4 linked regions of the Macaca mulatta genome follow. The protein of the gene in region 1 interacts with the protein of each later gene in a biochemical or structural test. Links are inferred from orthologs where the notes say so. Each region holds a gene or a part of one and is shown in the gene's direction. Other genes may lie near its edges.

Evidence for each region. The genes of interacting proteins can lie anywhere in the genome.
Region 2: the proteins of STX1A (region 1) and STXBP5 form a complex in vitro, tested with the Homo sapiens proteins (2 studies listed by BioGRID). The link is inferred for Macaca mulatta from reciprocal best matches to the Homo sapiens genes STX1A and STXBP5.
Region 3: the proteins of STX1A (region 1) and SNAP23 form a complex in vitro, tested with the Homo sapiens proteins (3 studies listed by BioGRID). The link is inferred for Macaca mulatta from reciprocal best matches to the Homo sapiens genes STX1A and SNAP23.
Region 4: the proteins of STX1A (region 1) and SLC6A1 form a complex in vitro, tested with the Homo sapiens proteins (2 studies listed by BioGRID). The link is inferred for Macaca mulatta from reciprocal best matches to the Homo sapiens genes STX1A and SLC6A1.

Annotation. Positions count from the first base shown.
Region 1 is NC_133408.1:51,196,671-51,202,254, reverse strand, and holds part of STX1A (syntaxin-1A), read left to right. Parts: intron 1-2,129; coding exon 2,130-2,204; intron 2,205-2,930; coding exon 2,931-3,004; intron 3,005-3,096; coding exon 3,097-3,205; intron 3,206-3,490; coding exon 3,491-3,564; exon of another isoform or gene 3,565-3,607; intron 3,608-4,252; exon of another isoform or gene 4,253-4,328; coding exon 4,329-4,466; intron 4,467-5,584. UniProt on the Homo sapiens protein: Plays an essential role in hormone and neurotransmitter calcium-dependent exocytosis and endocytosis.
Region 2 is NC_133409.1:65,646,055-65,652,298, forward strand, and holds the start of STXBP5 (syntaxin-binding protein 5), read left to right. Parts: upstream 1-2,451; 5' UTR 2,452-3,306; coding exon 3,307-3,459; intron 3,460-4,744; coding exon 4,745-4,842; intron 4,843-6,244. UniProt on the Homo sapiens protein: Plays a regulatory role in calcium-dependent exocytosis and neurotransmitter release. Inhibits membrane fusion between transport vesicles and the plasma membrane.
Region 3 is NC_133412.1:19,898,704-19,905,051, forward strand, and holds the start of SNAP23 (synaptosomal-associated protein 23), read left to right. Parts: upstream 1-2,555; 5' UTR 2,556-2,632; exon of another isoform or gene 2,633-2,683; intron 2,684-6,348. UniProt on the Homo sapiens protein: Essential component of the high affinity receptor for the general membrane fusion machinery and an important regulator of transport vesicle docking and fusion.
Region 4 is NC_133407.1:149,876,127-149,882,238, forward strand, and holds the start of SLC6A1 (sodium- and chloride-dependent GABA transporter 1), read left to right. Parts: upstream 1-2,319; 5' UTR 2,320-2,413; coding exon 2,414-2,651; exon of another isoform or gene 2,652-2,682; intron 2,683-2,993; exon of another isoform or gene 2,994-3,045; coding exon 3,046-3,177; exon of another isoform or gene 3,178-3,208; intron 3,209-3,726; exon of another isoform or gene 3,727-3,775; coding exon of another isoform or gene 3,776-3,800; coding exon 3,801-3,901; intron 3,902-5,417; coding exon 5,418-5,527; intron 5,528-6,112. UniProt on the Homo sapiens protein: Mediates transport of gamma-aminobutyric acid (GABA) together with sodium and chloride and is responsible for the reuptake of GABA from the synapse. The translocation of GABA, however, may also occur in the reverse direction leading to the release of GABA.

The DNA of each region.
Region 1 (5,584 bases):
GTGGCACCCCGGGGCGGGCATTCTCAGGGCTCTAGGAAGTCAGCCCTCTCCCTCCGCACTGGGAGCCTGTGTGTCAGGCTTGCGCTCCGGCCCCAGACAGGTTCCCCCAACCCGGTCCTCGCGTTCCTGTTGAGATGTTGGTTACTACACTGAGAGGTGCCAGGCTGATGGCATAGGTGCCCTTCCCTGGAGTGGGGCTCACCCTGAGTCCCAGGGATGCAGCCATCAGGTGTTTGAGGGAGGCAGGCCCTGGCCACGCAGGTGCCCGAGGTCAGATTTTCTCGCCTCCAGCACGGCCTCCCGGTCTGGGACCCCTCACCCCCAAGCCCACTGGCATCTTCAAGAACCCAGAGTAAATCTTTCCACAGCCCCAAATTGTGCATGAACCCAGGTCAATGCTACACCAACTAAGCCAGTGCCCCGCCCTCAGAAGGCAAAATGGGTCAGGTGGGAGCAGGGTGGACTGCCTCAGGAAGGGCAGGAGGAGAGAGGGACGCCCAGGGTTCACCATGCTGCGCTCCTCGCCCTAGAGATTTGTTGGATGGCAGCATGAGACGGATGTCTCTGCGCCCAGAGGTATCTGGGTCACCGTGTGTCCCTGTGTGGGCTGTTCCTGCTCAGGGTCAGGAGGTGGCTGACTGTGGGGTGGGACGGAGGGCTCTGAAGAGCAGGGGAGCGGGCCTCTCGCTGCTGGCAGGTGGGGTGGGCATGGGGCAGCAGAGCTGTCTCCTCCACACCTTGGGTCGTGCAGGCCACCTCCTGCACCGTCTCCTGCTGCGGTGTCATGCACAGTCATAGGGACTGGTTCTGAGTCACCACCCGTGAGCTGAGCAGTCCCAGGCTCTTGCTAAGGGGAGGGGGCTCATGTTGGGGGTTCTAGGGCACAGGTGGTACAGAGTTAAGAAGTCTCGAGGAAAGATGGCAGTGAGTGGGGGGCTCTCCTGGGCAAGGCGGGCTCTGCCTCCTCTGGGGGCTGCCATCCGGCCTGGGCTATTTTGGGTCTGAGCAAAAGAGGCTGAGACGTCAGAGCAGCTGGTAACCGACTTTTCCTTTGTTCCTACGGATGAGGCGCCCTCCTCCGCGCCTCGGAACCCCCACTTCCCCGCTCCACCCCACCGCATTCCACTTGGGAGGTGACCCCATCTGGGGCTTTCCTAATAGCCACTCTCGATACCCCTCCCTGTCCCCTCTAGGACAAACCCCAGCCCCAGAGGCAAGCAGAGGGGTGGGTGGGAAGGTGACAGCCGGAGCTCAGTCCCAGCTTCTCCTGGGGCGGAGTCCTGGGGGTGTCCTGAGACTGGGGTGTTGCCAGGAGCACCCCCAGGGGAGGCAGCTGTCATGCCCCACTTTTCCAGCCAGCTCCTCTCAGGCAGGGGGGCAAGCTGGGCACCCCCATGACCTCTGCCAGCTTTAGGGAGATGGTTCTAGTTGGAACAAGGGTCACAAAACACTATGCCACCACCCTCCTCCAATTTCACCAGGGCCCCAGCTACCTGCCACGGCCAGGGCCGACTATGCCCACCTCTTTGGACCTCAGGGCCCACATCAGCGCCCACCCAGGCCATCCACCCCTTGCCCCCTTCCACCCACCGGGCACTTAGCACCCCGGGAGGCGCAGCTTTGTGGGAACGGCAAGGTCTGCCCCACCCAGAGTGTTTGAGCCTGCGACTCAGGGAGTGCAGGATGGCCCCCTGTCAGCTCCCTGGCTGGCTGCCTACCCTCCTGAGCCACCAGGTAACACCAGGTGAGCCCGCACCGCGCCCCCCCCCCCAACTTCAACTACAGCAAGCATCAAGTCACTGTTCCTGGTGCCAACTCCAGCATCGCCAGCTGCTCCACAATTATTTCTGCCTTAAATTTAGACCCATCTGTTATCTCCAGGGGGTGGGGGCGCCGGCAAAGGAGGAAGGGAGGCTCCTCCGAAGACAGCACAAGAGGGGGTGAGGCTGCAGCTGGTGCATCCCTGGCCCAGAATTAGGGAGGGGGCAGGCAGAGCCTTAGCCAGGGGAGCAGGGGAGAACCGGGATCTACCCAGAGCCCCCATTGGGCCCCCTGTGCTGGAGGCTGAGTCTGCACATCAGTCCCCGGCAGAGCCTAGGGGGCCGCCCCCACCCTTTCTACCTCCCCAGAGACGAAGGAGGAGCTGGAAGAACTCATGTCCGACATAAAGAAGACAGCAAACAAAGTTCGTTCCAAGTTAAAGAGTGAGTCAGGCTTGTCTGGGGGTGGGTGGGGGGCATTCTAGGCCTGCTTCCTCTGGGGAGCCCATGGGGTTTTGCTCACCCTGAGGGGGTGCGCCGGATCTTGCTTTCCTTTCTGAGGGTGGCGTCATGTGCCCATTCACTCAACAGCTACTTGGCAAGGCCCGTTGGTGCCAGGCTCTGGGTTGGGCCTGGGGACACACCCGCCCGAGGCTTTGTCGAGGGAGGGCTCCACTCTGGACGGGCACTGCCCCTCACCTCTGCTAAAGAGGGTTAAAGAAGTGGCCAGCACTTCCTGGTCTCATGCAGAAGCCCCGTATGCTGGGTGAACGGACACGTACACCCCGTGAGTGCCAAGGCCTCGGGGCCACATGCCCTGCAGCAGGGGCCCCCTGGCTCTCCCCGCTGTGGGCACGGCCCCTCGTACACAGCCTCTCTGAGCAGAAAGGGAGCGGTACCCAGGCACAGAGTGGCCGGAGCTGCCAGACCTCACACACACTCAGAGCTTGGAGTGGGTGTGCATTTACACACGTGCACACACCACACAACGTCACAGCTGGAAGGGCCTCTGTAGGCCCCTCCTCCATCAGTGCCTGGCACTGACCCCACCAGCCACAGGCCACACACATACCCTAGGAGATGTGGGGAGGTGAACAGATGCAGGATGTGCGGGTCGGGGGCGGGGGTAAAGGGGGCTGGTTTTGACTCAGCACCCACCTGTGCCCCCAGGCATCGAGCAGTCCATCGAGCAAGAGGAAGGCCTGAACCGCTCCTCTGCTGACCTGAGGATCCGGAAGACACAGGTGCGGTCGGGAGTCTAGGGTGGGCGGGCACCTGAGACTCTGGGTCGGTCCCCGCGGGGCCTGATCCCTGCACCTGCATCTCGGGCCCCCAGCACTCCACGCTGTCCAGAAAGTTTGTGGAGGTCATGTCGGAGTACAACGCCACGCAGTCCGACTACCGCGAGCGCTGCAAGGGCCGTATCCAGAGGCAGCTGGAGATCAGTGAGCTGGGGGCGGGGCCTGGGGCTGCCTCAGTGAGCTGGGGGCGGTACCTGGAGTGGGCGAGGCGTGGAGGGGCGGGGCCCGAGGCTGCTGCTTAGTTAGAGGCCCGAGGGGCGGGGCCCGAGGCAGCCGCTGAGTTAGGGGCTGGAGAGGCGGGGGCCTGAGGCTGCTGCTGATCTCGGGGCTGGGGGGAGCCCGGGCCTGGGACTGTAGGGGGCGGGGCCCGAGGCTGCTGCTGAACTCCCCGGAGAGGGCTGGGCTCAGTGTGACCCCACTCGCTTGCAGCCGGCAGGACCACGACCAGTGAGGAGCTGGAGGACATGCTGGAGAGTGGGAACCCCGCCATCTTTGCATCTGGGGTGAGTGTGGGCCCCACCCCTCCTGCCATGATCCCCTCACCATGTTACCCACGTTCATGACCCCTAGTGCAGGGTCTGGACAGTATGTGGACACAGACCCCTTGTAAGGCAGGTTTTAAGGCAGGAGGAGTCCCAGAGAGGGGAAAACACAAGGCTGAGGTCACATAAATGTCTGTGGCAAAGGTGGACTCAAGACCCCTGTCTCCTGATGCCTCCCAATTGGACCCACTTCCTTTCGCCGGCCGCCAGGGGCTTCTCCTCTTATCCGTGGGCCCTTTTCCCCTTCTGGAGGACATTTGGCCATCTCCGTGTTCACGTGAAGCCGGGCAGGGGTGCTCCCTGAAGGAGGTGGCACATAGGTGTTCGAGGCAGGCTTGGGGTTGTGAGTTCCAGGAGAGAGCGGGGGAGCAGTCACATTCAGTGTGGGGGGAAGGGATGGGAGAAAGGCAGTTCCAGGCCTGGGTCCACGGGGCAGTCAACTTAGGCTCTGCAAAACGCTGGTGGTAAGGACTGTCACTGAGCACTCGCTCTGTGGCCAGCACAGGTGGAGAGTGTCACTAGCCGCAGGTTACAGGTAGGAGATTGGGTCGCAGAGAAATTACATAACAGCTAGCAGGTGGCAGAGCCAGGTAGCAAGGCAGGCAGGGCTGTGGCTGGGGAGGAAGCCTCGGGTCCCCTTCCGGAGCAGCTCTGCCCTCCCCGTCGGCCCTCTGCCCTGCCCCTCAGCAAGCCTCTGGGTCCCAGCCCCCTGCTCCCACCCCCAGATCATCATGGACTCCAGCATCTCAAAGCAGGCTCTGAGCGAAATTGAGACGCGGCACAGCGAGATCATCAAGCTGGAGAACAGCATCCGTGAGCTGCACGACATGTTCATGGACATGGCCATGCTTGTGGAGAGCCAGGTGAGCGCTGGGCCCCCTGCCCTCCACTGCAGCCCACACCAGCACCCAGGGCTGCACTAACCTCACCCTTTCTGCCCGACACGCTGCCCTGCCGGGGAGAGACCAAGTTCTCAGGTAACCAATCACCCGCTGTTGAAACTGCCGCCAGGACCCTGCCCACCTGAAGGTCCCTGTCCTCTGCATGGCTCTGCTTGACCTTCAAGGACCCCAGGCCCTGCATGGCCCCACCCCCTACACCCCGTCATCTCTCATTCCCCTACTGTTTCCTCATGGGGCCACTGTGGGCCATGCATTTCCCCAGTGACCAGGACAGCTGAGGGACCTGCTTCCTGGAGTGAATAGCTTTTGGGCAAAAGGGCTGCCAAAGAACAAATGGAAGGTTCTTCAGTGGGGCTCAAACTTGAATGAGTCACCTGGAGGACTTATAAGTTTCCAGGTCCCTGTCCCAGAGTCTGGCAGGTGAGGGAAGGCCGGGAAGATACCTGTCTGACAAGCTCAAGGGTGGTGCCGCAGCCACTATGGTTCCAAAGTTACACTCGGAGTAACACTGTGCCCACGATGGGGCGGCTGCCTTTGTTGGAGTGAGTGGTCAAGGAAGGCCTCTCAGGAAGGGGCATTTGAACTGATGCCAGAAAACGGTGAAAAGGAGCCAGCTGTGAAGACTTCACAGTGGAAGATGAAGAGCTGGCCCCAGCAACACTAAGGTCCCAAGCCCAGCAAGACCCAGACTTATTTCAGGAACAGAAAAAGGAGGTCCATGGTGCTGGGGCACAAGGAGTGGTCGGAATTGAGATGAAGCTGGAGACGAGGTGGACGGGGCCTTGGCAGGCAGTGTGCTGAGGAATTTGCAGTCTCTTCTAGATTGGAGGGGATTTGGGTTGTTTTTTTTTTTTTTTTTTAGCAAAAGATGGGATCTTGCTGTGTTGCCCAGGCTGGTCTCGGAACTCCTGGGCTCAAGTGATCCTCCCACCTCAGCCTCCCAAAGTGCTGGGATCATAGATGTGAGCCACAGCACCCAGCCAGGTTGGAATGTTTTAAGTATGGGAGTGACGTGACCTTGGTTAGGAAGCAGGGAGGCCGTCAGGAGGCTGCTGCTGCCGCCATCTGGTGAGAAACAG
Region 2 (6,244 bases), on another chromosome or scaffold:
TAACTGACTTATAAGAATTACCGTGAGTTTGAGGATCGATTATTTTATCTTTGCTATAATAAAGGTCGTTATTTTGGGCCATTGTTGGTTTTGGCCATATGGATTTCTGGAAAAGTCCCAGTGTCCCTGAGCATAGAGAGGATGGATTGCAAGTTCACAAAGGTAAGCTATATTCATCTTAAATTCCAGGTATCCACTAAGAACTGAAATTTTAAGAATGTCAGAATGAGTTCATAAGTTGATGGAAAAGATAGGAGTATAGAAATAAAAACAAAAATTCTAGAGTCAGAAGTAGGAAACTGGCTTAAATTCGTGACTTTCTGAGGTCCCCTTTACCTCAAGGACCCTGATAGTAGAACAGGAAACTGACATTTTTGAGTGTCTACAGAGTACTAAGCAATGTAGTACAAACTTTTCATATTCTTTCTTTTCCCCCTCCGGTTCATTCTCATAAATTCCTAAGAAGAAGGTGGTGTTAATCTCATTTTAAACCTGAGGAATCTGATCCCTGGAAAAATTTAAAAATTTGCCCAAGATTACACATATTACCATGGCCTGGACTGAAGTTCATGGCTAGCTAACAACAAAGCCTGTATTTTCCCACTATACCACAAGGTCCCTCAACAAGAAGTTGTCTTTTTTTTCCAAAAAGTTTTATAATCCAATGATGAAAAATTATCCAATAGATTTTAGACCTAGGTAAGTAAAAAGGCAGATTGTACAATTCTATGGGGTTGTCATCTGTCTGCTTTGCAATTTTCCCCTGTGGAGTCACATGTATTTTAAAAAAGCTCTCAAGGTAATTCTGAGGCTCTCCTCCCCATCGTCTTCCAATGGTCTTTGCCTTCTGTTTGCTTGGTCTGCTCCTCCTTATCTGACATGATCTATAGTGGGAGTCACCATGTCCAAGCCTTCCTGGTCAGTTAAGTGGCCCTCTGCCGTCCTCCTTCATTATTCCATCATTGAACTCATCACATCGTTTTACAATTACCATTTATGTTAAAAGTCGTCTCATTAGACTGTGGTGAGCTTGCTGAAAGCAAGAATTGCATTTTCCTGTCTTTAGTACCTAGCACACCGCCTGACAACAAAATGTTAGACAAAAAATTCAGAGCCACCTGGAAATAGTTTAAGAATGTTCTCAAATTTGTTTTATTGGCCGTTGCACCCAGTGAATCAACTAATTCAATAAATATTAAACGACAAATCAAAATTTTGTACGTTCCAAATGTAAGACATTGTCCTGGGATGCGGAAGCTGCAGAGTGGACTACATTTCCCGAAATCCCTGGGTCCAGTCGTAGTTGGTTCGCTGCTTTTGAATGCTGGTCACATCAACCAATAGGGTGACGACAATTTCCCTAAAGGAGAGGGAGCCGGCCAATCACAAAGAAGAGGGCGGGTACTTCTGACTGGTTTGGAACTTAAAAAAACCCTTTGTAGCGCTTCCGTGGCTTTTCCGCAGACCAGAGCGCTCGAGGAGTCCTTTGCTAGGAACTTATACCCCTCTCCCCGAATTAGGATTAGTCTCCCTGCACTTCCCTCCTTCCTTACGTCTTTCCTATTTCCACATCCTTCTAATCAACTACCTGTGCTTCCGTCCACCTGTCCGGTTGAACGCACTCTCCGGGAGGTTTCCCCGGCACAATCTCTGTCATTGCCAACTTGAGCCAGGCATTTGTCTCCAAGCATCCACGCGAGATGGGCAGTGCGGCCGCGGAAAGATCTGAGCAAAAACTTCATCGTATCCCCCTTTCCCTGTTCAAGAGTGAAGCTCCCGGGAGATTACTGAGTGGCTAATCAGCGTCAGGGCGGATTGAAGGTTCTGAACAAGAGTGGCAGCGCGGCGTTTCCTGCCACCCGCGCTCCTCCCCGGGAGCGGCTGGGTGCGGGGTAGTGTCATCGGCCGGGGCTGACACCGGCACTGGAGCCGTTCCCCGCTGGCAGCCTCTTCCGTCCCAGCAGGTACCTGTTAAGGCCAGACACGTTCCACCAACAGTCGCAGCTGCAGGAAAGAACCCGTTTTTTTCCCGTCTAGGTTTCTCCTTTCCTAGTACCTAAGCCCATCATCCTCCTGCCACTGACATAATCGTTGTCTAGACGTTCTTTTTCAAAACTCAAATCCAATCAAACAAAAACAAAGCCCGTCAAAGCAAGAACAATAATACTGCAGCTAGCGGCCGGGAGCGTGCACCCCATTAACGGGGAGAAAGCATCAACCCCTGCTGTAATGACTGAATTGGAAAGAAAGGTTTCATGCCGCTTGTTAGTCGTCAACATTTTTACTATGCCAGCTGCAAGAGAAGCAGCTGCATACTCTGGCAACTCGACTAGGGTGGGAGAAATTTAGCCAGCGTCTGGGATTTTCGCAGATAATTTAAGCCCCAGCTTCGCTCCCGCTGGGGGCTGGGGGCCTGCGGGGCCAGGGTGGGGGAACTGGGCTGTGGCGCGCATGCGCAGGTCCTGCAGCCCGGCTCTGGGGAGGCCCTGCTGCCGCCACCGCCGTGGCCCGCGCTGTAACCGCGGCTGCCGCTGCTGCTCGGGGCGGGCGTTGGTGTCGTGTGTCGAGGCGCCCTGTCAGGCGAGGGGGAGCAGCTGGGCGGGGAGAGCCGACTGCCGCGGCGGCGCCTGAGGAACGCAGCCGGGCTCGGGAGCGGCGAGGGCGGGCCGGTCCAGCGGCGGAGGAGCGAGGCGGAGCGAGGCAGGCGGCGCGGGGACCCACCCCAGGCGCCTAGTGTGCGAGGCCGGGCGGGCAGCGGCTGGGAGGCCGAGCGGCGGCCGCGGACAGGGCGCCGGCGACCCCCGGGAGGAGGAGAAGGAGCCGGAGGACGCCCGAGGGACTGCGGGGCCGGGGCAGGCGAGCAGCGGCGCGGCCGCGGGCCATGGACGCGGCGGCGACGGTGGCGGCGGCGGGGGCGAGCCGGGGCGGCGGCGCGGCGCAGAGTCCGCCCGCGGCCAGGTGAGGCTGGGCTGAGCGGGCTCGGGCGCCGCCGCCACTGCTGCTGCTGCCTGGCCGCGGAGCGAGGAGGCGGCGGCGGCGGCTGAAGCGGCGCCGCAGCAGCCGCGCCAAGCAGCGGCGGCCTCGGAGGAAGAGGGGTCGCCGCCCGGGGTTCTTGCGGCCGCCTCTCTTGTCGTCGCAGTATTTCCTGTTCGGATTATCTTTTGCTTCCCTCCAGCTGCCTCCTTGCCCTTACACTCCCACTCCTTCGTTTCCGCGGTCGAAACTGCCCTCGGCCCCGGGTAGTCTCCCCCGTCTGGGGACCCCCGTGCCTCCCCTCCCGGGCTGCGGGGGAGCCCCTCCGAGACCATGAGGAAATTCAACATCAGGAAGGTGCTGGACGGCCTGACCGCCAGCTCGTCCTCGGCGTCGCAGCAGCAGCAGCAGCAGCAGCATCCGCCTGGGAACCGGGAGCCGGAGATCCAGGAAACGCTCCAGTCCGAGCACTTTCAGCTCTGCAAGGTGAACGGAGCGCGCAGCCCCGCGACGCCGTCATTGAAAAATTGGGGTTGTTTTAAGGGGGCTACTCGGGCTTTACATGGGAATGCAAGGGAAGAGAACGCCAGTAATAATAATAACTCTAATAAAATGCTCGCTCCTCCCCTGGCAAACCTTTCTTCGGTGGGTTATTTTGGAGATTGATACCTTTACTCCTTCTCGTTGATTTTTCTCTCTTCCCTTTGCACATGCAGCAGTCAGTTCAAGGTTGCTTCAAACTATTATCCGACCCTTAATTTGTATTCTGACACTGCCAGTAATAACCTGGAAGCTTTTATATTCAAGCGTTTTAATATGATTCACCAACTTCGAAGTTTCCTTTGGAAACGGTGTCTAATGAATGTTGTTTATCAAAAAGCCAAACCTGTTCTACCACACCTTTGCTCATCACTTTTCCCTTAAAATGTGGTGAGTGGCTTACGATATGAAATCGTAGGGTTCTTTTTATCATTGTTTGTTAAAAAGTTAGTACTGAGATTTTTGCCTGTTAATGGCACGATGATTGCCATAGCGTTCTGTAATTCAGAAAGAATGATGCAGCGAATTAATTCACCAGCTGCTTAATAAGAAACACAAACTTGTCTCGGTATTAATACCTGCCTTTCTCTTAAATAGCTATGTATTTGTATGTCAGAGTTTCTTAAAAGTGTGTGTGTGTGTGTGTGTGTGTGTGTGTGTGTGTATGTCTAATGCCCTAAAATGATTATGGCCTTAATAGTAAATTGCAAAAATATATGTTGTACTCATCTTCGTTCTGTTACAAGTGTAAAATGTTGAGATAGAGGTTTGATTATTGCTCTACTGAATGCTTGACTAAAGTAATTATATGACAGCTTTTCCTTAGAAGTACTTGCGTTAGCATCCAAATAAAATAATGATGAAATGAATACTGCCAAAATAAAGTATGAATTGCATTTAATGGGTTTACAGAATTTTGTACTATTGCAAACTTTAGTCATTTGGTGTCGATGTAATAGTATGGAATATTAATAAAATATTTTCTTCTATGGAATACCAGTATGGAAAAGCGAAATTAAAGTATATCGCTGGACTAGGTTTTTGTTTCAGGTTCTATGTGAGTGACTTTGTGAGTGTAGGTTTCACTTATTTTTTTTAAAAGCAGTAAGTGCATGTGTATGTGTTTTGCATCAGTGGTAGTGGTTCTAAATTCTAACGCCTCTGTTGACTTTTCTATTTTTAAATTTCGCTTGCTGCCTTGGTTGCTGTGATGTCACTTGCCCATCCCTAGACTGTTCGCCATGGATTTCCCTATCAACCCTCAGCCCTGGCCTTTGATCCTGTACAGAAGATCCTGGCGGTGGGAACTCAGACTGGTGCTTTAAGGCTGTATCCTTTTTTTAATTTTATTTTTTAACTTCTACTTTTTTAACTTCTCCCCAGTCCTTCTGAGGATTAGTTCCAAAGAAAATTTTTATTTTCCTGTTGGTGTGATCAGATATATACTATGAGAAATCATGTGTTGGCTTTTCCCTTGATTATAATTCAGCTTATATACTGCTGTGATGTTTCTCAGCTCTTCGTTTATAGTAGCTAAACATATATCCAAAGAGAGGTCTAAAGTTTTGTTATAATAACTATTTTATTTGTAAGGAGATAGAAGTTTATGAGGAAAAATATATCTGCTTATACTATTGGTCTGATGAATGGGGTATGTTAAGGATGAGATTTAAAGACAATTTAAAAAATATTATGCATGGTAGATATTGAACTTATGACCTATTCTAATAAATTGGAGATTGGATTTGAATCTGAATTTGGTTGTTTTTGACATGTCCGTGTAGAAAAATAATTAGCAGAAGATAAATGCAGCAAATTAATTTTCTATAAAGTTATAAATGGTTAATACTTCTACCATTTTTTAGAGCATTTTCTTGAAAAATGCATAGGGTTAAATTTATTTTCTTGATATATTTTTTCTCTCATAGTCTACATTTGTTATGTATTTGTAAAAACTGTTAGGTTACTATACATTAAACTACTAGTATAGAAAGAATTTTCCTGGTTATGTATGAACTATATTAGTTTTATCAAGCATTTTTTTCAAATACTTCAAAAGATTTTTTTCAAGATAATTTTTTAGTGAGAGCAGTACAGACTGCTCACTTTCTATTTTTATATTGAAATGTGTTTTCTTTTACTGTGACTTTGAAACATACTTAACCGAAATATATTCTTATTTTTAAACTTAATAAGATTTGAATTCATCCATCTGTAGGATATCTACTTCCTACATATTAATGAGTAATGTGTTGGTGATAAATAGAAAAACAAAGTCACTAGATGATCTCAATAGACATTATTATTGTCCAAAAAAAAAAAAAAAAGGAAGAAAAGAAAGAAAAGAAATAAGGGATAAGGGAGGAGCTTTACCTCTTTGCATTTTAGATTTTTCTGGTTCCTGAGAAGGAGCGAGGGAATCTGCATTTGAGTTAAACATGTGCCAGGCATTTTACTTACATTTTAAAGTCATTATTTCAAAGAAGTACTATGTGATATAGATATATATACACATATATATATAAAGATAATGCCTCAAGTTTTATTTGTGATTTAATGTGCTGTCTTCAAAATGCTAATAGAAGTTTTAGGATGGACTATTGAATTGTGTTACTAAGTGAAGTCTACTATATGTAGTAAATACTATGCAGTCATACCTATATAAGCGATAAAATCTGACCAGGCTAGATCTGAATCTGTTAATTTCTGAGACAGTATGTCTCAAGTGCTC
Region 3 (6,348 bases), on another chromosome or scaffold:
ATCCCTGGTTGAGAACCACGGAATTATATCAATGACCATCACAACCCTAAATGAACTAATTAACTCAACTGTACATTTTCTCCACCTCTGCCCTCAAAAAGTGACTGCTGCTTGAGAAAATTACACAGGAGGGCAGAAAATGGTGAATTCATTTTTGCCCATATTAAAAAGGACCTCAGTATTGCTTATCAGTCCTACAACATTTTTCTGTCAACTTGTTGTATTACTTTCTACAATATTCCCAATCTTCTCAACTTTCCTTTAAACTCCCAATACCACTTCCTTTTCTATCGGAAGATGACCCCATCTCCAACTTCACAGAGAAAACAAGTTAGCAAATGAGAACTTTTAACTTCCTGTTACTAAACATACAGAAACATACTTCCTGTCATAACTGGGGAGATATCTCCTCTATCTCTCTTTCTCCCCTCCCTCCTCTCTTCCAAAACCATTCCTCTCACCAGTGTTTTGAATTGCCTCTAAACTGCCTCTATTCTTACCCTTTCACCATCTTTGCCTACTGACTGTCCCTTCTCTTCCTTTATTCAACCGTTTTTTTTCCTCAGTTGAATCTTCCCTACCATACTCAAGTTTCTCCTGTCTTAATTCTAACAAAAAAAAACAAAAACAAAAAACCAATAACAAAAAATCTTGATCCTTCATCATTCTCCCTCCTTCCTCCCTGTCAAGGCCAAACTTTCCAAAAGCATTCTACAACTTGTCCCCATCTCTACATCTCCCCCGTCTCCAAACTAATAAGTTGTTTTTTTCAACCCCAGCATTCCACCAAACAGCTTTCACTGACATAATCAGTGACCTCTGTGTTATGAAATTTAAAAAAAACATTTCTCAGGCTTCATCTTCCTTGATCCCTTAGGAACCGACAGACTATTTCCTCCTTGAAGCACTGTTTTTTTGTTTGTTTTTTTTGTGTGTTTTGAGAGGGAGTCTGGCACTGTCGCCAGACAGTGATAGACATTATGATAGTAACGTAGCTGGGATTACAGGCGCCTGCCACCACACCCAGCTATTTTTTCTTTTTTTTTTTTTTTTTTGTCGGGGGTGGGGGGCAGACGGAGTTTTGCTCTTGTTGCCCAGGCTGGAGTGCAATGCGTGATCTTGGCCCACTGCAACCTCCGCCTCCTGGGTTCAGGCGATTCTCCTGCCTCAGCCTCCCGACTAGCTGGAATTACAGGCGTCTGCCACCACACCCGGCTAATTTAAAATATAAAAATATAAACATACAAAATATAAAAATACAAAATTTATATATATATATATATATATATATATATTTTTTTTTTTTTTGAGACAGAGTCTTGCTCTATCGCCCAGGCTGGAGTGCAGTGGCTCGAGCTCGGCTCACTGCAAGCTCCGCCTCCTGGGTTCAGGCCATTCTCCTGCCTCAGCCTCCCGAGTAGCTGTGACTACAGGCGCCCGCCACCACGCCACCACGCCCGGCTAATTTTTTTGTATTTTTAGTAGAGACGGGGTTTCACCGTGTTAAGCAGGATGGTCTCGATCTCCTGACCTCGCGATCCGCCCGCCTCGGCCTCCCAAAGTGCTGGGATTACAGGCGTGAGCCACCACGCCCGGCCATATTTTGTATTTTTAGTAGAGACGGGGGTTTCTCTATTTTTGCTAGGCTGGTCTCAAACTCCTGACCTCGTGATCTGCCCGCTTCAGCCTCCCAAAGTGCTGGGATTGATTACAGGTGTGAGCCACTGTGCCTGGTGAAGCACTTTATTTTCTTGATTTCCAGCAGTTTGTTTTATTCTTAGAGGTGCATGGAAGGGTTCCTGCAGCAAATAGTTTACAATAATCATCCATCTGCTTAAAACTCTTCAATAGTTTTCAGTGCCCATAGTACAAAGTGGTCTAAAATTCCAAGGCCTTCCAAAATCTAGCGATTGTCGGCCTTCTAAAGCTTTCTTCCCTCTACACTCTGGGATGTACGATTAGCACTAAGCCTCTTACAAGGATGAACTACTAGAAATTTCCAGAAGGCGTTATGCTGTTCTCGACATAAGCTGTTTCCCAGAGCCTGGAAAACTCTAGCTCTTTCTCTGCCGGATTTCCGGGGGAACTCCTACTTATCCTTCAGGACTCAAGTCACTTCCTCCGGGAACCCTTCCAGACACCCCTAAGAATAAAACGCTTTGTTCATTATCAGCCAAAGGCGCCTCAGATTTTCTATGTGCTATGCACTGTATTCTATTCACTATAAATTTGTTTACATATCTATATCTTAGTCTAGACATATTGAAAGACGCTGAAGGGCAGGGAAAGCATTCTATTCGCTTTCTTTTCTTCATCGTTCATCCAGCACACTGCCTGGCACACGGTTTGCCCTCAGTAAATGTTTATTGCATGAACACCTCCCAGCTTCGGGCATGACCGGAATCTATCCGGTTAACTGGTGAATTCCCAGACTCTCCGCCTGCGTGGCAGGGACATTTAAACCCCCAGCACCGTGATTGGCTCCAGCTGCAAGGGTGTGTCCGTGTCCTCGGCGCACGGGATGTGCGCAGGCGCGCGGGCTCGGCGCGCGCAGGCGCGACTAGGGCGCCGCGCCAGGTCCGGTGTTGGGGTGTCCGAGCTGCGGCTGGAGAGGAGTGGCCTTACCCGCTTGGTGAGTCTCCAGGAGTGGGACGGAGGGAGCTGACCGGGATGAAGTCGGAGAGTATGTCCTGAGAAGAAAGAGTATATCGTATTGGTTGAAAAGTTGGTGGGGTCGGGCTTAAGCGGAGGAGGGGGCGCTCTGGCCCTTACTGGGCAAATGGGCCCGGAGCGAGGACGGGAGGTGCCGTGAGAACATCGAGGGGCCAGTGGAGGAAGGTGGCTGGATGGTGATTCTCTGGACCCTTCCTCGAAATTAAACAGAGATCACCTCCCGTCCCTCACCCCCACTGTGTTGCTGTGGTTGACATTAATAGACTGCATGTCTGGTGACCACGGTGACCAGATAGCTCTGAGATAATGGCTTGAGGAAGGACTCTCAGGTTCCTGGTATTGGATAGCACTTTCTCTGTAGAAAGGTTCAGCCTTACCTCGCGGCACAAATTAGAGGATCAGGAAAAGAATGAATTCCACAATTCGGGATTGTAGTGGTGGGGGGAAAAAGTACTGTAAAGTGCAGTTTCATCTCGTCCTTTTTTTCTTCTTTAATCATTAGTCACCACAATGTTAGGAAAGGCAGTTGATGGTAGGAGAAAACGTAAAGACATAAAAGTAGGGGAGAAAAAAAGTCAAGAAGGGAGTATCACTTTGCCTTTTGCTATTTGTCATCTCCTGGAATGGAGTCTGTATTAGTCCGATCTCACACTGCTATAAAGAAGTACCCGAGGCCGGGCTTGGTGGCTCATGCCTGTAATCCCAGCACTTTGGGAGGCCCAGGTGGGAAGATCACTTGAGATCAGGAGTTCGAGACCAGCCTGGCCAACATGATGAACTCCCATCTCTACTAAAAATACAAAAATTAGCCAGGCATGGTGGCATATGCTTGTAATCCCAGCTACTCCGGAGGCTGAGGCAGGAGAATTCCCTGAACCTGGGAAGCAGAGTTTGCAGTCAACTGAGATCATGCCACTGTGCTCCAGCCTGGGAGGCAGAGTCAGACTCCATCTCCAAAAGAAAAAGAAAAAGAAATACCTGAGACTGGGTAATTGATAAAGGAAAGACGTTTAATTGACTCTCAGTTCTGCATGGCTGGGGAGGCCTCAAGAAACTTATAATCGTGGTGGAAGGCAAAGGAGAAGCCAAGTACCTTCTTCACAAGATGGCAGGAGAGACAGAGTGAAGGGGAAAGAGCCCCTTATAAAACCAGTATCATGAGAACAGCATGGGGGAAACCACCTCCATAATTTAATCACCTCCCACCAGATTCGAGATGAGGTTATGGGTAGCCAAACCATATCATTCTGCCCCTGGCCCCTTTCTTTCTTTCTTTCTTTCTTTTTTTTTTTTTTGTTTTTGAGACAGAGTCACCCAGGCTGGAGCGCAGTGGCGCTATGTCGGCTCACTACAACCTCCAACACTTCAGCCATCCTCCTGCCTCACCCTCCTGAATAGAGACTACAGATGCATTCCACCAAACCTGCCTTTTTTTTTTTTTTTTTTTTTTTTGAGATGGGGTCTTGCTCTGTTGCTCAGATTGGAGTGCAGTGGCATGATCTCCGCTCACTGCAACCTCCATCTCCCAGGGTCAAGCAGTTCTCCTGCATCAGCCTCCCAAGTAGCTGGGATTACAGGCGCCTGCCACCACACCTGGCTAATTTTTGTATTTTTAGTAGAGATGGGGTTTGGCCATGTTGGCCAGGCTGGTCTTGAACTCCCGACCTCAGGTTATCCACTGGCTTCCACCTCCCAAAGTGCTGGGATTACAGGCGTGAGCCACCGCACCTGGCTAATTTTTGTATTTTTTAGTAGAGACGGGATTTCACTATATTGGCCAGGCTGGTCTTGAACTCCTGACCTCATGATCCACCCGCCTCGTCCTCCCAAGGTTCTGGGATTACAGACGTGAGCCACCACTCCCGGCTCCCCTGGCGCTTTTCTAATCTCATGTCCTCACAGTTCAAAACACAATCATGCCTTCCCAACAGGCCTCCAAAGTCTTAACTCATTCCAGTATTAACCCAAAAGTCCAAGTCCAAAGTCTCATCTGAGACAAGGCAAGTCCCTTTTGCCTAGGAGCCTGTAAAATCAAAAGCAAGTTAGTTACTTCTAAGATGCTATGGGGGAATAGGCATTGGTAAATGCTCCCATTCCAAATGGGAGAAATTGGACAAAACAAAGGGGTTACTGGCCCTATACAAGTCCAAAATCCAGTGGGACAGTCATTCCATCTTAAAGCTTATTTTAATCTCCTTTGACTCCATGTCTCACATCCAGGGCATGCTGATGCAAAGAGTGGGCTCCCAAGGGCTTGAGCAGTTCCGACCCTGTGGCTTTGCAGGGTTCAGGCCCAGAGGCTGCTCTCCTGGGCTGGCATTCAGTGCCTGCGGCTTTTCCAGGTGTATGGTGCAAGCTGTTTGTAGACCTGCCATTCTGGAGTCTGGAGGATGGTGGCCATCTTCTCACAGCTCCACTAGGCAGTGCCCCAGTGGGGACTCTGGGGGGGCTCCAACCCCATGTTTCCTTTCTGCAACACCCTAGCAGAGGTTCTCCTTGAGGTCTCTTCCCCTGCAGCAGACTTTGGCCTGGACATCCAGGGATTTCCATACATCTTCTGAAATCTAGACAGAGGTTCCCAAACCTCAATTCTTGACTTCTGTGCACCTGCAGCCCCAGCATCACGTGCAAGCTACCAAGGTTTTGGGGCTTGCAGCCTCTGAAGCAACAGCCCAAGCTGTACCTTGGTCCCTTTTAGCCATGAGCTGGAGCAGCTGGGACTCAGGGCCCCAAGTCCTGAGGCTGCCCACGAAACCATTTTTTCTTCCTAGGCCTCAGGTCCTGTGATAGGAGGGGCTACTATGAAGATCTCTGACATGCCCTGGATACATTTTTCCCATTGTTTTTGTGATTAACATTCAACTCCTTGTTACTTATGCAAATTTATGCAGCTGGCTTAAATTGCTTCATAAATTATTCAGTGGTCTCAACTCACTGAGATCACTGAGTGATCTCAGGAAAATAAAGAAATATTAGCAAATAAGAGAAACACCTTACATTGCCATACTCCTTTGACAGGTCATGTGAAAGTAATTTAAGTGATCATGTAACTTAGCCTGCAGTTTGAATATTTGTCTTGGTAGGTTTTTCTTTAGGTGCTTGTAGTATGTGTTTATGCACTAGAAAGTTGGTGTTGTTATAGTTCCAGCATAAGGATGACTTACTGTGCCATTATTTTCCTAACAATATTATACCATTTCATATAAACAGTGGAATTCCTATATATATCTTGATGTTTGTTTCTTATATGAACTTAGATACACTACACAAGCTCACTTAACTAAAGGTCACATCTTTTCTTTTTTTTTTGTTTTGAGACGGAGTTTTGCTCTTATTGCCCAGGCTGGAGTGCAATGGCACGATCTCGGGTCACCTCAATCTCTGCCTCCCGGCTTCAAGTGATTCTTCTGCCTCAGCCTCCCGAGTAGCTGGGATTACAGGCATATGCCACCACACCTGGCTAATTTTGTATTTTTAGTAGAGAGTAGGTTGGTCAGGCTGGTCTCGAACTCCCGACCTCAGGTGATCCCGCTCACTTCTGCCTCCTAAAGTGCTGGGATTATAGGCGTGAGCCACCACGCCCAGCCTAAGATCACATCATTCAGAACACAACCTAGAATCACAAAGAAAGTAAACAAAAACAGGCCTGTACTCATGGGACAGCTGTGGAATCTT
Region 4 (6,112 bases), on another chromosome or scaffold:
TCATTTTGAACAAATATGGCAGATGGAGACCACAAGGGTAGATCATGGGACAGTCAAGGCCATCATTGTTAGGACAGTTAATGGCTGAGGCTGCTCTCTCCTGCATATCCCAAGACTCCCTGGTAGACCACAGAATCGGCCGCCTCCTACTTCCTGCCATTCTCGAGGAGGGGAGGCAGGCACCCTACTGAGTCCAGAGCTCTCTCTAACATTGCCATGCCCAGGCCAGGATCTAGATGGGCATCCAAGACCAGCCTGTGTGCCGTGAAGGAGCTCAAAGTGAGCAGGCCATCCCTGAGAACGAGGAGCAGGGGTGGCAGGAAAGTTTGGATGATCTGAAGATGGCCTGGTTCTCCGTGAACTCTGGGAGGAGAAGATGGTGTTTGGTAATGGGGACTGCATGTGAAGGGCTGGAGGGCCAGTCCACAGCAGACTGGGCCCCCACTGGGCAAAGCTGCAGGGTGGAGGTCACGGGGGGAGGGCCAGGGTCACACTGCACCTTGCTTTGGCGCAGCTCCCACCTCTGAGGGTCCGCAGACTGGTGCTTCACATGTTCTGGTTGTTCCGAGGGTTCCACAAGTTTATTTTGTGTTATATTATTAATTTAAATCACTTTTGTAGAACATTATAGAAATAAAAAAAAGCACAAAGAAGAAAACAAAAGTCACTCATAAACTAAGCATTGTAGTCATCTTTGGATATATCCTTTTTTAAAATAAATTTGGGGGGAGGGGGCAAAAATTGGATAATTCGAAATAAACTCTCTGGAAACCTGCCTTTCTCACCCCAAAACAAGGTGCTCTTTCTCGTGTTCTTACGTGGCCTATTTGTAACATTTCCACGAGTTTGGATGGAGGATGGAGAAAAGTCTCAGCAGCCCCTCTGTTGGTTTCTCTTCTCCTCTGATAAAATTATAGAATGTCTTCTCCACGCTGCCCTCATCCCACCCCCACAGCTGTCCTGAGGGCAGCAGGCCCCACTCCTGCATGTTCCCAGCACCCCGAGGGCCAGTGCCATGCTGCATGGACTCGCTGCGGCCACCCTGGCTGGGGATGCTCTGCGGGACACACGCACAGCCCGGACGACCTGGCAGGCTTCCTGCACCCCCGCTGCCCTCTGTAGGAGCTGCCTGCCTGCCCCACCGCTGCTTCGCCATCCCTCCTCTCCTTCCCTTCTCTGTTTTGCAGGCTCTCACCCAGAGTGGCAGAAGGAGCCCTTCTGGAGCTGACCCACCCCCGACAACCATCAGGTAACATCAACAGCCACAGTAACAACATCCATGAGTGGAGTTCTCCCTCTTAACCAGGCTGACGAAAAGCACTCTTGCAGCGATTACGGCTGAGTTTTGATGCAACTCTACAAGCCAGAGGGGATTGCCCCCATTTTATACTTGAGGAAACTGAGCACAAACAAGAGCAGTACTTAATAGTATTGAGTAGTAGTACTGAGCAGTAGTACTCAGCTGGTAGAAGGCAGACTGGAGATTTGAACTCAGGACTGCTCTCAGCCCAGTTTCCTCCACTGTACTGTACCCCATGCTGCCCCTGGAAATAAAAAGGTAAGAAGGCTTCAGGGTGTCAGTAGAATATCTTGCGGTGACTGAAGGCTGAAAGAGGTCCTCTAAACCAGTGGTCCTTAGCTGAGGGCCAGGGCTGGGCTGCCAGTATAAGAATCTCCTTTAGCAGAGTTTGTTAGAAGTATAGACTCAGGACTTCCTGCAACCCAATGAGAGATGTACCAGTGTCATCCTCATTATAAAAGATAGGGGCACACAGAGGTTGAGTGTACTTAAAGTCATACAGCTCAAAAGTGGTAAAGTGGACTGTGATCAGAGGTTGTAACTCCTAGGCTCTGTTGTCTTCACTGGGACCCTCCATAGTGGGGCCACCTTTCTCCCCATTCAACCGTAGGTTGAACTTCTTTCTTGCTCGCCCTGGCCATGGCTAGTATGGCTGCAGAGTGGGACAAGGCTCCCAATTGCATCCTTGAAGGCAAAGTTAAAGATTTTATGATTAAATACTTAATATTTCATGTTGGAAGTTTGGTGGCCTCAGATTTCTCCTCTGAGCAGGACATACAACAGAGGGTTGGACACAGATGGCCGGAGTTGAAGCCAGGCCAGGAAACATCGCTGTGTCTTTGGAAACAAAAGTCACCTTCCTTCCTCCAGGAGCGAGGGTGGGCGAGAGGAAGAGCTTATAGAGAGCCTTTTCAAGCCCCTAGTTTGTTCATGGGTTATTTTGTTTTTGTCATTTTAGGGTGAGGCAACTCCAAGGTCATACTCTCTTTCTGTGCCTGTCACCCTACCCCTGTCCTCCTAGGGTGCCCTTGAGCCGCAAAACTGCTGTCCACGTGGACCGGGGCTGACATCGCACGTCCATCTGCCAGGACCCCTGCGTCCAAATTCCGAGACATGGCGACCAACGGCAGCAAGGTGGCTGATGGGCAGATCTCCACCGAGGTCAGCGAGGCCCCTGTGGCCAATGACAAGCCCAAAACCTTGGTGGTCAAGGTGCAGAAGAAGGCAGCGGACCTCCCTGACCGGGACACGTGGAAGGGCCGCTTCGACTTCCTCATGTCCTGTGTGGGCTATGCCATCGGCCTGGGCAACGTCTGGAGGTTCCCCTATCTCTGCGGGAAAAATGGTGGGGGTAGGTGCTGGCCTGGAGACCTCCTGGCTGGGTCTGGACCCTGCAAAAAGGATCCTGCTTAGGCATTTTTCTGGGGCAACTGTAGGAGAAAAGCTCCCCTAAAGACTCCAGAGGGAGCACCAGGCCCCATTTCTTGTTTCTTATCCCTTTATCAAAAGATTCCCGAAGGACGATTGTCCTCTGTTAATGATACCAAGAAGTTCATCTACTCACCTGCAAAAAATGGGATGTATTTCACGTAAGGCTGTCCTTGGGCCCGCAGTTGGCTGTGGGTCCTACTTTTGAGGCGGGTATAGAGAAATCCTGGATGGGGACCCAGAACCATGGCAATCCCTCTACCAGGGCAGGTCTTGAAAGTCTTGGGGCCACGAGCTCTGTCTTCTTTCCCCTGCAGGTGCCTTCCTGATCCCCTACTTCCTGACGCTCATCTTTGCGGGGGTCCCACTCTTCCTGCTGGAGTGCTCCCTGGGCCAGTACACCTCCATCGGGGGGCTGGGGGTATGGAAGCTGGCTCCTATGTTCAAGGGTAAGTCTGCAGAGCGGAGCCCTGGGTGGTGGTGCCCCTGCCCACACACACCCCTGCCCCTCTGGAGAGAGGGAGCTGTCTACCCAGACCAGGGTTGACATCACATATCCGTCCATCAGGTGTATGTCTGAGCAGAATGAGGGCTGTTGCAAGGGGCCAGGTGGCAGATGACAGTGCTGGTCAGAAACTAGGGAGATGGAGGTGGAGAAGCCCAATCCAGAATCTCCCGCACATCAGCCTGTTCTGTCCTGTTAGCCCATTCATTTCCCCTGCGAGAGCTGGGTGTGACTTGCTTTGCCTCGTGCTCAGTGGCTGACAGGCACCCAGGTAGATACTTGGTGAGTCATGCTTACTGACTGAGGGCCTGGGCCCCACCTCCTCTGGCAAGCTGAGACCCCAGCCCTGCCTGCCACCAGTCTGCACTGGGCCCCAGACATGAGTCCTGGGCCCTTGGCTTGCCAGATGTACATGACCTTCAGCAAGTCACTGCCTCTCTCTTAACCTCAGTGTCCTCAGTAATGCCTCTCTCTGAGATCGATAAGATTGTAGAGGTCATGGAACATGCCAGGACAGTTCATGTGAAGTCTGTATTAAATGGATGTGTGTCTGTGTTCTGCTCCCAGGCGTGGGCCTTGCGGCTGCGGTGCTGTCATTCTGGCTGAATATCTACTACATCGTCATCATCTCCTGGGCCATCTACTACCTGTACAATTCCTTCACCACGGTGAGTGGTCCCTTTGGCCACCCCCTCCAGCAGGAGCCACACCCAGAGCCCACCCTCCGCCTGCTGTGGCCACCACTCTGCTGACAAGGTCATTCCTCCAGGAGTGGGGAACTTGGTTTGTCTTTTATGGGCCTTGGTCTCCCCACAACAGCCATAGCCTCACGAATTTAGCATCTCCTGTGAGCCAGACACTCCTTGTAGGCTCACATCCAATCCTCATGACACCCCTCTAAAGTGCGTATTGTTAGTCCATTTTATATGGACACAGACAGCCTGGGTTCAACTCCTGACTCTACTATATACCAGCTGTGCAACTTCAGAAAAGAGACTTAACCTCTCTGAGTCTCAGTGCCCTCATTTACAAAATGGAAATAAAATTAGAATCTGCCCTAGTTCCTCAAAAAGTTAAACATAGAATTACCATATGATCCAGCAATTCTGCTTCTGAGTAGATACCTAAAGAATGAAAAGTAGGCTCTCAAAGAGATATTTGTACACTTCTGTTCACAGCAGCACTATTTACAGTAGCCAAAAGGTGGAAGCAAGCCAAGTGTTCATTGATAAATGAATTGGTAAGCAAAATATGGTCTATACATACAATGGAATGTAATTCAGCCTTTAAAAGGAAGGAAATTCTGGCACGTGCTTCAACATGGATGAACCTTGAGGATATTATGTCAAGTGAAATAAACCAGTCACAAAAATACAATCCTGTATGATCTTGCTTATATGAGTTTCCTAGAGTAGTCAAATTTATAGACACAGAAAGTAGAATGATGGTTGCCAGGGGTTGTGAGTAGGGGGATGAGGAGCTGTTGTTTAGTGGGTGGAGTTGCAGTTTTGCGAAATGAAAAAAGTTCTGGAGCTGGATGCTGACAATGTTAGGCAACACATTTCTCACAATGTATTCCCATTGTTAAGTGACACATGACTATATTTGCAGAGGTGCGGCAGGGCTAAGGGAGCTACATTATGGGTATACTTAATGCTTCTAAACTGTACACTCACCAACAGTTAAGATGGTAAATGTTATGTATAATTTTATCACAATTAAAAAATGAAAGAAAACAAAAAGTGAAACCCACCTCATAGGGTTCTCATGAGGATTAAGGAGCAGATATGTGTAAGGAACTTAGAACTGCGCCTGGCAGAGAACAAGCTCTGTAAGTGTTTGCAGGTGTCATCGCAGTGAGAGTTAGATGGGCAAGATCTGTTGCCCAAGATCACATGGTGGGGAAGTAGCCCCGGCTGCAGCTTGGAAGGCTCTTTTCATAGTGAACGGGTTGAGGTTCAAATCTCAGCCCTGGCACTTAGTAGCTGTGTATTCTCAAGCAAGTCACTGTCCCTCTCTGATCTGTCAAATGGGGATCATAATGCTACTTACCTCCCAGAGCTGCTGGGAAAGGGAGGTGTGAGGAGGCTTGGGGACCATGAGGGTGGGCAGGGTGCACTGGGACCACTCATGCCAGCCCCTGGGAGCCCAGCGGGATGTGTCCTCATGACTGTGTCCTTGCAGACACTGCCGTGGAAACAGTGTGACAACCCCTGGAACACGGACCGCTGCTTCTCCAACTACAGCATGGTCAACACCACCAACATGACCAGCGCTGTGGTAGAGTTCTGGGAGTGAGTATGGGGCCGCCAGGGGATGGCAGGGACAGGGAATGTCAGCCAGGGGCTACGGTCATGTGTCACATGACATCTTGGTCATCAGCGGACCACATATACAATGATGGTCCCATAAGATTATAATACCATATTTTACTTTACCTTTTCTACATCTAGACATGTCTAGTACAGAAATGCATTGTGTTACAGTTGCCTACAATATTCAGTACAGTCATGTGCTGTATAGCTTTGTGGCCTAGCAGCAATAGGCCACACCATATGGTGTAGGAGTATAGCAGGCTACACCATCTAGATTTGTGTAAGTACACGCTATGATATGCACACAACAACAAAATTGCCTAACAACACATTTCTCAGAACATATCCCCGTTGTTAAGTGACACATGACTATACTTGCAGAGTTGTGGCAGGGCAAGGGCTAAGGCAGCCACAAGGGATGCCGAAAGCCTTTTCTCCCCAGAAAGAGTTGGACCATAGATGGAGCCATAAGACACACATACTCTGACCTTTGATAGCGAAATCCAGCTACCCACAAAGCCACGGTCTAGCAGGGACAATACGTTCCCCAACATCTCTGCCTCT